Linked DNA regions of Xenopus tropicalis. The main gene of each other region encodes a partner of the protein of the gene in region 2 in a complex. Links are inferred from orthologs where the notes say so. Each region holds a gene or a part of one and is shown on either strand. Other genes may lie near its edges.

Region 1 (5,234 bases), on a different chromosome or scaffold from region 2:
ACACGTGAAAGCAGGCATTTTATTCAGGCCAATCTCTGCTCCATGTAGCTTCACTCAGGTAAATGCTGTGTCTGTCAGTGCAGCTTAACAGAGCTGCGGATAATGTGATAGGCATGGGAGGAAGCGGAGCAGAGGTGGGAGCAAGCAGAGTGGCAGTGGGTGTAAGTGACAGGGTTCTCCTGGAAGAAACATCACAGGAGGTGTGAATGGGCAGGACAGGTCTGCAGATCTGTGCTAATCCTGTGCAACAGAGGTAATAGGGGTACCACAGTAAGAAGCCTAGGGCAAGTAGATTTGTGGCTGGGAAGGGGGGGAGAGGAGTGTAGCACCATCTTGGATGAAAGCATAAACGCTGCTACAAATGCACTCTGAATTGATTTGTCTATGGCACTTGCAAAAACTGAAAAGGCTGGTTGCGAAAGTAAACTGCTTTTTGTGATGGCAGGAGATGGTGGAGGAAAATGGTGTGGCTAATTGTGAGTTGGGGTGAATGGGAAATCTGAACTATTTGTGGCAGAGAAATTCTAAGGCTAGTGCCACACATGGTGGATTCTCAGCCTATGATTATACACACTGAAAACCACTGCATGTGCCTGCACCTGGGTTGATGCAATGGATTTGGGTGCAAGAAAGCAAGAATGCTGATTCCAACGCAAGGACAGAAAAACACAGGCTGAGCATAGGTGGATTTTCATTAAGGCTATGGGAGGCAAAGCCTCCTCAAACCTGCTTGGCACATTAAAAAAACAAAAAAAAAACCTCACTCCGCTTCTGCACTGCCCTGGAAATCTTCTGTTCCTGCAAGCCGGTTCTGCTGTGCTCTGATTGGATCTTCCTTCTTGTGGATTCTCCAATCAAAGCACAGCTTTCTTGACAGACAGTAAAATTGACCAATCAAAGTACAGCTGCAGACAGGGCTCGGAAGATATTATAAACTGAAGGCAGTGCAGAAATGAAGACTGAAAAGAAGAATCTGCAGACTGTAAACTTTACCTGAGAACCAACTCTCAACTTTTGCTGCAGATTTCATCCCACTCCCACTCCCTATACAGTTCTAAAGGCTGAATCACTAGCTGAAATTAAATTGTTTTTTGCCTGACCTGACATTTATAATATCCCTATCACCTATCCTAACAGATGGATGGTAAGTTAACTCTTTCCCCCTAAAAAAGCTAATTGAGCTTTTGTATACTTGTTGTTTTTTGCACTTACTATTTTTTTTTTTACTTTTGTCATTGTTTTGTTCATTTCTAGTTAGTTAGTGGAGCCAATGCCATGTATCAGTGCCAGTGTTATAGTGTGAGAGCCTGAATATCTGCCATCAGTACCCACTGCTTCTCACTGCATATAATGTGCTGGTTATGCAAATACACACTGCATTTCACTGTATAAAATGTGCCGGGGATGTCAGTACCCACTGCCTCTCTATAAAACTAACAAACTTAAAGGGGTGGTTGACTTTTAAGTTAACTTTTAGTATGTTATAGAATGGCCTATTCCTAGCAACTTTGCAATAGGTCTTCCTAATTAATTTTTTTTTATAGGTCTTGAATAATTTGCCTTTCTCTTCTGCCTCTTTGCAGCTATCAAATGGGGATCACTGACCCCGGCAGCCAAAAATAATTGCTCTTCAAGGCTACAATTTTAATTATTATTGTAATTTTTTGTTACTTATTTTTCCATCCAGGCCCCTTAACTATTCATATTCCCTATTCTCTTGTATAAACCACTACCTGGTTCCTAGGGTAAATAAGACCCTAGCAACTAGATAGCTGCTGAATTACCAAATGGAGAGCTGCTGAACAAAAATATATTATATATTAAAAGTCAAACGTGAACTACCCCTTTAAAGGAACAGTAACACATAAATATTTAAGTACCTTATAAGTCACAAAACATCTCTAATATTAGGTCTAGCCTTTCCCCCCTTGCCTTTTTTAAACTGTCTGAAGAAATAGAAACATAAATTTAAACTGCATACGCTGATAAAAATCTTGCCGAAGGTCCTCCAACACGATGAATACTTTTACATCCTAAGCATTTTAGGGTAAAAAAAAAGCCCTCCCACCCGCACTTTTGCACTGTATCCCTGTAAGTCAGTGGGAACTGCAAGAGGTAGTTGGGAGGTTCATTCTCACACCAGCAGTGAATCCACAAATTCTCACATTAACTTTAGGTCAGTCTGTGTATGGGCCATCTTTAGCCTCCCCAAATGAGTATGAAAAAAACGTTGTCTGGGATTTCAGTGCCTCTTTAACATTCCACAGCATCATTATATTTCTCCTCATTTTTTATGCTTGTTTCTTAAGAGAAATGCTGCTTTTGCAGAGAAAAATCACAATTTAGCTCTTCCCCCACTCTGTGTTCTGCTACTTCAATTACCTTTGTAAAAGCTAGTCCCCAAGTATACCCACCCCTGCAGCAGCCCATTGTTTGCACACAATTCTCCCCCCCCCCTTCCCTTGTAAGGCTGTTTGTAAGCACCGCTCGCAGCTTATGAAATGTAAGTGAAACACTTCTGAGCATAATGCATGTCATGTAGAGCTGATCCGAGCCACGGAGATCAAACCGGAAGTGCCGCTGATTGGTTGTTGTTGTTGCCATGGTGATTGTGTATACAAGCTCCGAACAGTTTCACTCAGAGTTGAGAGGAAAAAGTAACCAGCAATTGCAATGTCCCAACAAGTGTCTTCCATGAATAGAAAAAACCTACAGAAGCAGGCGGACGCCCTGAGCCGACTCATCAAGCACTGTAAGTGTGAGACCAAACCCACAGATGCCCACTCTTTAGCCTGTTTCATGAGTGTAGAATAAAACATTTTTTTCAACATATATCGACAATCATGGGCCCCATATCTCCTAGGCCCTAACCCCCTTACTAGTCTTACAGCCTGCGTCTTCTATTATATTATTATTATACCTGGTGTTAAGATACTTTCAGACAGTAAATACATGGTAGATGTCCAACCTGTAGTAATCCAGCAATAGTAGTTGAACTACAGCTCCCAGAACCTTACTAAAAGTTGTTGGCTGGGGTGTTGAGAGTTGTGATTCCTCCACAGTTACAGGTTAGACATCCCTGATTTATGTATATTGTGCCCTGGGGGAATCCTCCATACACCCAGCACTGTACATTACATCAGACTGGAAAGGACCTGGGTTAATTATCGCAAGCAACTGTGGTTCAGAAACAGTCGCAGGAAAATAAGATGGGCATCCTTGGCATAAATATTTATTCATCATCACTAATATAGTGCAATGATACTGGGACTTATAGTTTGTCCTGGTTTTCTTTTTTTAACTTTTTCATGTACAAAAAATGCACAACAGTAGGAAACACAAGATAGAAGTTGTTTTAGATCGATTTATACATTTTCAAACTAGGCAAAGCAATACATGTGCACTATGGGAGGTATTGTGGATCAGGGTTGTGTATAGGAGGTGTATCGGTCGGCTGTCTTTCACCCTGGGGAGGTGGTCGAGCCTACTCTGGATCAGCTGCTGTTTCTGGCTTGTCCTGGTTTTCTTAGCAAAACCTTTTTCTAGAGGGTCAGAAATGGTTGCCTTTAAGTGGTGCCCTTGTTCATTTGCATGCATGATGTGATACCACAGTGCACTTGTTACATGCACAGAAAATCTTGCATGCACTGGAATGTGCAGTGTGTTTTCAGTGCCATCTGAGTTTCACACCTCATGTATTAAATGCCAGATGATGTTGAACATTTTGTGCTCTTTTTTTAGTTTACTTAGGAAAACTATATGGTCATTTACTAAATGGAAGGCAGTTTTGCAAAGTGCAAAAAAAACACTGCAGTCTTTCATTAGTTTTGCACTTTGCACAACACCTTTTTTGCTACTTGAATGGCTGCAGGGCTCTGCAAATGTCCTTGCAGCAAGTTGCCTGTAAAACAATATTCATTAAATGTACAGGATCCGTTATCCGTAAACCCATTATGCTGAAAGTTCCGAGTTAGGGAAAGGCCGTCTCCCATAGACTCCGTTATAAGCAAATAATTCTAATTTTTTAAAATGATTTCCTTTTTTCCTGTAATAATAAAACACTACCTTTTACTCGATCCCAACTATGATATAAGCAATCCTTATTGGAGGCAAAATGATTCTATTGGGTTTCTTCAATATTTCAATGATATTTTTAGCAGACTTAAGGTATGGAGATACAAATTATGGAAAGATCCCTTATCCAGAAAACCTCAGGTCCCAAGCATTCTGGATAATAGGTCCCATACCTGTACTTGCATCCAGGTGTTAGCTCCTGGGTTCCTTCAGGGCCCTGAGTCAACAGATGCAGCAAACTTGGGGTTAAAGAAATGCTTAGACAGCATTCACAGGCTGAATATCAGAACTGATGCCAGGCAGTCTGCAAATATATATTGGCGTAACTGTGGCAAAGTACACACGCATTTGCATCCATTTTGATAATTGGGGCGCATTTGTGCCGGATACAGTGCAAATGATGTGAAGTTGCATCTAATTCAAAGCCCACATTAGGCTTGCAGGATTCTTGGAAAAAGCAGTACATTGTGGGAAAACATGGCTATTGCATTCAAAGTATGGTTGAATTTTGACATGATCTGCTCAACTAAAATTTTGTTTCAGTATTACACTATATATCTTTAATTTGCAGTTAGTAAGAATGAAGTGGAGAGCCTCATCCGCCTTTATCATACTTTGGTGGGACGACCCATTGATCCTAATACAAGGCGTGGCATTGACCGAAACACTTTCAGAAATATCCTGCACAATACATTTGGCATGACAGATGATATGATCATGGACAGAGGTGGGAGACTTTTATCTGAGTGAATTTCAAAGAATCAGTTGTTGAATCTTTTGACATGGCCTTAACTTCTTTATCTTCTAGTGTTTCGAGGATTTGACAAAGATAATGACAGCTACATCAGTGTTACAGAATGGGTGGAAGGCCTGTCCGTATTTTTACGTGGGACTCTAGAAGAAAGGATAAAATGTAAGAAGTTTTTATATGATACATGGATACACAAGCTCATATATTGATACAGTATTTGCAGTATTGATCAAAATGTATTATCAGCATTTTACCTTTGTAACCAGCAGCACTGTGGGAAATATATCTCCTATTTTTCTTATTTACGGAACAGATTATTATAAACAATGGAGGCATATTAAGGCGGCTTCAGAGATCTTGGACATGCTGGAGGGTAAAAAGCCAGAGAGCCACATGTGACTCATTGGGC
Region 2 (5,134 bases):
TAAAAGGTTCTGACTCTGGCTAAAGAGTTTGGGTCCTGGAATATGCAAAGAGTGCCGAGAATTCTGGAATAAACCGGGAGCTCAATGCATCCCTAAAAATTTCCCCTGGCACCAGTCAGCCATTCCACTTTCTGTTGGCCGCTTTCCCAGGCTGTTCAGGAAAACCTGCAGCTCTCAGCAATGTACACTGTAGGATGGCAGCCAATCAGCACTGAATACATTTCCTGTATTGCATCAACCTAGTACTCACCACCTTGATGTGCTTGACTTTGCTTGCTAGATGTTCCACTCCAGCTTTGGTCTCATTCAGAATTTTGGACATTTGTTCTAGTTCCTCTTTGGTTTTCTCACACCTTTTCTCTTCTTTCTGGAGGTGACTCTGCAGCTCTTCCAGATCCTGCTGCCCTCTATTATGGAACAAAGTAAATGATGAGAGATATTATGTGGCTCTAGGCATTACAGTTAGGGTGAAGACACACGGAGCTAATTAGTAGCAGCTACTTGTCACGGCTACTAAATGCTGGAAAATCCCCTGCCATAGACAATACTGAGAATTGCCTCTGCTAAAACACACAAAGAGACAATTATCAGTAAATTATCAGCATTGTCTTTTTTTGTAGCCTTGACAAGTAGCTGCTACTGGTAGCTCTGTGTGTCTTCACCCTTAAGGTGGCCATACACATAGGCCTTATATTAACAACAGACCCCAGTCAGCCACTCCAGACCAATTCAGCAGCCATACACGTAGCAATAACGATCGTTCCTACCCTCCACTGACGTTCAGGGCTGAATTGTCAGATATGGAGGTAAAAACAATAGAAATTCTACCTCCACCTGCCAATTCAGTCCTGAAAATTTTGCTTGGGCGCCTTCAATGGTGCAATCTGGGCAATCACAGGGGTGGGCATATTGGGAACAGGTCCGCTCCATTGGTGACCTTGTGCTCTTTACATGTATGGCCAGCACATATGGCTAAATATAGAACATAGTTCCCTCTGTTCAGGATGATGGCCCAAACAAGCATTAAGTGAGATGGTTCTACAGCTCTGCTAGCAAACCTTTCTGCAGATGCAATGATGTGACTGAGGATTTCCATGACCACATAAGACCACTCTCAGTGGTCACAAGGAAACATATATACCTGGACAATTTGGCTTCCCCAGAGTACTTCTGGTTACGGAATTCCTCCTCCAGTTTCTCCTTCTGCTCTTTCAGCCTCACCAGTGTCCTTTCATTCTCAATCTTTAGTTCCTCCAAGTGTTTGCTAGTTTCTCCCTGGGCTATGAAGCGCCTCACAATCTCCTGCAGGGTTATAGGGGGAACATGGGGTGAAACCTCGGTAGTGCTGCAAGACACGTGTCCCAACCAGGCATTCAGCCTCCAGGGCACTCTATTGTATGTCACATGGCTAATGTCCCAGGATTGCTTTGATCTCAATGAGAAACGTGAGAGCACTGTGGTATATACCACGTATTACTGACAGCCCCCTCACCTGAGTATCTGTCACGCCAGTGGCTTCCTTTATCCTCTGAAAGGCTTCCTGGAAGGTGCGTATCACCTTTTCTTCATCTTCTCCACTTGGCGTCTGTTGAGTGTCCACTGTAGCATCGTCTCCAGGCAAGGCCACTCGCTGAGCCTATAAAAGCATCACAATTTCACATTTCATCAGAACAGCCAGGATCCAAAATGGATAACAGAGAGTAACATGATGACAGGGCCATGCCTATGGTCTCATTTATCAACAAGTGGAAAGGAGCAAAACCAAAACGTGCATGGCACTATGATTTCTGCCCACTATGCACAGTCACCTCCAAGTGGTGCTTAGAATAGTGCAAGAGTTGTGCTTTTCTCTCTCCCTGATAAATTTCACATGGAAAAGAGTTGGGTGTTCCTGGCATGTCCTACCTTGACATTATTCAGCATGCACCAAGCAGCATTGCTGGGGGTGGGGGCGAAAGGCACAAGAGAACCCTTTACTTAATGCCTCAACTTGAACCAATGTAGCAATAGTCAGCTGTCCTCCAGCCAAAAAGTCCCACAATGCTTTGTATGCTTCTTCACATTAATCAGTTGGCTTCTGCTACATTGTTTCAGGAGTCAGACAGATACTGCATTAATAGCAATCACATTTAGAAACTGGCGCTTGCCCTCAGAGTAGCACACAAGTGCCCACACTCCCACATGCCTTCCATGCTTAGTGCAACTTGCACCCAGATGAACAGTATTCACTAACCTGGGAGATTCTTTGTGTCTCTGGGTTTGGGCACAGAGATTGGCAGAGTCATTATGAGGGAGAGATATGGGGTAAAGCTCTTTGGGTGGGGTAGGGAATCAAAACCTTACCCTTCTTTCCACGCGCTCAGCATGAATACGTCTCTCTTCCGCTTGCTTTTTGTAATTCTGAAGGGTGCGCTCTCTTTCCCTTCTTTCTCTTGTAACTTCTTCTTCCTGCTGCTGAAGGTCAGTCTGTCAACCAGAAGGTAAAAGAGCATACCATAAATACCCAGCGCTCAATGCACACGAACTATAGTAACTATACTATATAGTAGGGATGCTTCGAATCATGGATTCGTTTTGGGATTTGGCCAAGATTTTGCCTTTTTCAGCAGGATTCCGCCGAATCCATGCTCCTGGCCAAACCAAACCCGAATTCTAAAAAGCATCTGATTTTTTTGTCACGTAAACATGGAAGTTTTTGCCGCACAACCTTTAACCCTTCCATGATCTAATTAGCATTCAGATTCAGTTCAATATTCGGCTGAATCTTTTACCAAGGATTCGGGGTTCGGCCGAATCCGAAAAAAGTGGATTTGGTGCATCCCTACTATATAGGGATATTTCTAGAAGTAAAGGACTCCCTGTCCCTCGTACCCGCGCCTCATCCCGTGCTTGCACAGCATCTCTGTTCATCTTCTGAAGCTCCTTCAGCTCACTTCTCTGCTTTATGATCTCAGCCTCTATGAGATCCAGCTGAGTCTGAAATGTCAGGCTTTCCTCCTGCAGAGATAGAAAGAGAGCATTGAGAGAAGGGACTCCTGTTCTGTGGAGCTTACACTCTAATACAGTGATCCCCAACCAGTGGCTCGAGGGCAACATGTTGCTCACCAACCCCTCTGATGTTGCTCCCAGTGGCATGAAAGCAGGTGCCTATTTTTGAATTTCTGACTTGAAGACAAGGTTTGGAGGCATAAAGACCATATATACTGTCCAGCAAAGCCTCCTGTAGGCTGCCAGTCATCACTGGGATACCAAATAACCAATCACAGCCCTTATTGATCATCCCCTAGGAATTTTTTTCCTGCTTGTGTTGCTCACAGGTAAAAAAGGTTGTGGACCCCTGCTCTAAAACATAGGGGGAAACAGATAAAATACAGTGTGAGGGGAATCCTATCCTATTCCATACACAAAGGCAGAACCATAGAGTGACAATGACTAAACCCAGTGACCAGAAGTGGAAAGAAGTGGCAGCATGAAGCAGTGGCCAAGCTCTAGAGACTCCTGTTACCTGCATGTGCTCTCTTAGCTTTTGATAGACGCTGAAAATGTGTTCTGCCTCCTGGTTCTTCAGCTGCGCCTTTTCCAGTCGGTTTTCCAAGAGACGCATGGCCTGCTGAACAAAGGGCAGGAGAGACTTACTGAGGGGAAACCATATAGCTGACTAGAGGTAAAGAGAAACCCAAAGCCTGTTAGAAAGCTAGCACCAGTTGATTCGGCAATCGAAAATCACAAATGGTTCTGCAAAGCAAAGGAGGTTCAGACAAAGATATAATAATTAACCTGTTCTGGTACTTCCTCTTTGTCTGCAGCTTCATCCTGTGGATGAAATAAGTAAACTGTGAACAAAATAATTTTCAGATGAAACCTGGAGTCTGTAGGCCTCATTTACTAACAGCAGCCATTGTGCAAAATGCAAAAAAGTTGCTGCAATCAGCCATGGTTTTAAGTTGGCACACTCATTGTTTTTCAGAATCCCAGCACCTTTGCATGGGTTAAAAGTTTCAAGCTATGCATCAGTACTACCTCCTGCTGTAAAGCGCAATGGCATCCATACAGCCCCCACATGGACCTGCCATAGTTGTATGTGTAAGCTATAGCACAAACTATATAAATAACTAGAATTAAATGAAAGCTTTGCTGCATCTATTCACCTGCTCATCCTGTGAGGGTCCCTCCTCTGCCACCATCTTGCCCTGCATTTCTAGTTCCCTCTGCTTGTACTCGGTCTGCAGCTCTTCCAAATGTTTCCTCTTCCTCTCTGCCTGGTGGTGCAGGGCATTCAGGCGCTTCATCTTATCACACAACTTCTGATCCATGAGCTCAATGGCAGCCTGAGCAATGGCAAAACATAAAATAACACATTAGGAAATGATACATGGAATAGTAGAACCACAATAGTCAAAAAGCCTTCTTGCTGGACATCCCTCCTTTTCAGAAGAACAGCAACCCCAGGGTCTATATCTGTTGCTGGTAATGTGAGGTAGGGACTGCTCATTAAAGCTTGCTCCAGAAACTGCCATAGGAAGTGATTTTCAAGTCATTGCATTGTGGGGCTAAAGGATGTTTTGCCCATTGTAGCTTTACCTGAAATAACTGAAGTGGTTAAATTCCTTAGTGCGTCAGATCACTAATGTAACACCAGATAATAAAATCGCATTCATGTATTTATCCATAACACTGGCAAAAAATATCTGCATCAGTAGAAACATTGGGTAACAGTTACCCTGTATCGTATTAGGGGTACCCATGGCACAAATAAACACTCACCCCAAATCCCCCCTAACTGGCCTTCAGGCTGGGCCCCCTTAGCTCATAACAAGGTTACAGATATATAGAAACATTGGGGTAACAGTCACCCTGCTATCGTTCCAGGGGTACCCAGGGCACAAATAAGCACTCACCCCAAATCCCCCCCTAACTGGCCTTCAGGCTGGGCCCCCTTAGCCCATAACAAGGTTACAGATATATAGAAACATTGGGGTAACAGTCACCCTGCTATAGTTCCAGGGGAACCCAGGGCACAAACAAGCACTCACCCCAAATATTACTGTTGGTCACTGTTACAAAAAAGATATAATATTCTAAGGTCTAAAGCTTTTAAGATGCCGGGAGTTGTAGTATAACAGCTGGAGCACTG

What was found.
Region 1: ccdc151 (region 2) and efcab1 share a complex: the UniProt entries of both Homo sapiens proteins name them as parts of the outer dynein arm-docking complex. The link is inferred for Xenopus tropicalis from reciprocal best matches to the Homo sapiens genes ODAD3 and CLXN.

The regions. Positions count from the first base shown.
Region 1 is NC_030682.2:51,306,416-51,311,649, forward strand, and holds the start of efcab1 (EF-hand calcium-binding domain-containing protein 1), read left to right. Parts: upstream 1-2,470; 5' UTR 2,471-2,673; coding exon of another isoform or gene 2,674-2,694; coding exon 2,695-2,752; intron 2,753-4,645; coding exon 4,646-4,801; intron 4,802-4,882; coding exon 4,883-4,987; intron 4,988-5,234. UniProt on the Homo sapiens protein: Component of the outer dynein arm-docking complex (ODA-DC) that mediates outer dynein arms (ODA) binding onto the doublet microtubule. Seems to regulate the assembly of both ODAs and their axonemal docking complex onto ciliary microtubules.
Region 2 is NC_030679.2:139,194,054-139,199,187, forward strand, and holds part of ccdc151 (coiled-coil domain-containing protein 151), read right to left. Parts: intron 4,329-5,134; coding exon 4,149-4,328; intron 3,814-4,148; coding exon 3,778-3,813; intron 3,611-3,777; coding exon 3,506-3,610; intron 2,998-3,505; coding exon 2,872-2,997; intron 2,467-2,871; coding exon 2,344-2,466; intron 1,637-2,343; coding exon 1,493-1,636; intron 1,303-1,492; coding exon 1,142-1,302; intron 408-1,141; coding exon 251-407; intron 1-250. UniProt on the Homo sapiens protein: Component of the outer dynein arm-docking complex (ODA-DC) that mediates outer dynein arms (ODA) binding onto the doublet microtubule. Involved in mediating assembly of both ODAs and their axonemal docking complex onto ciliary microtubules.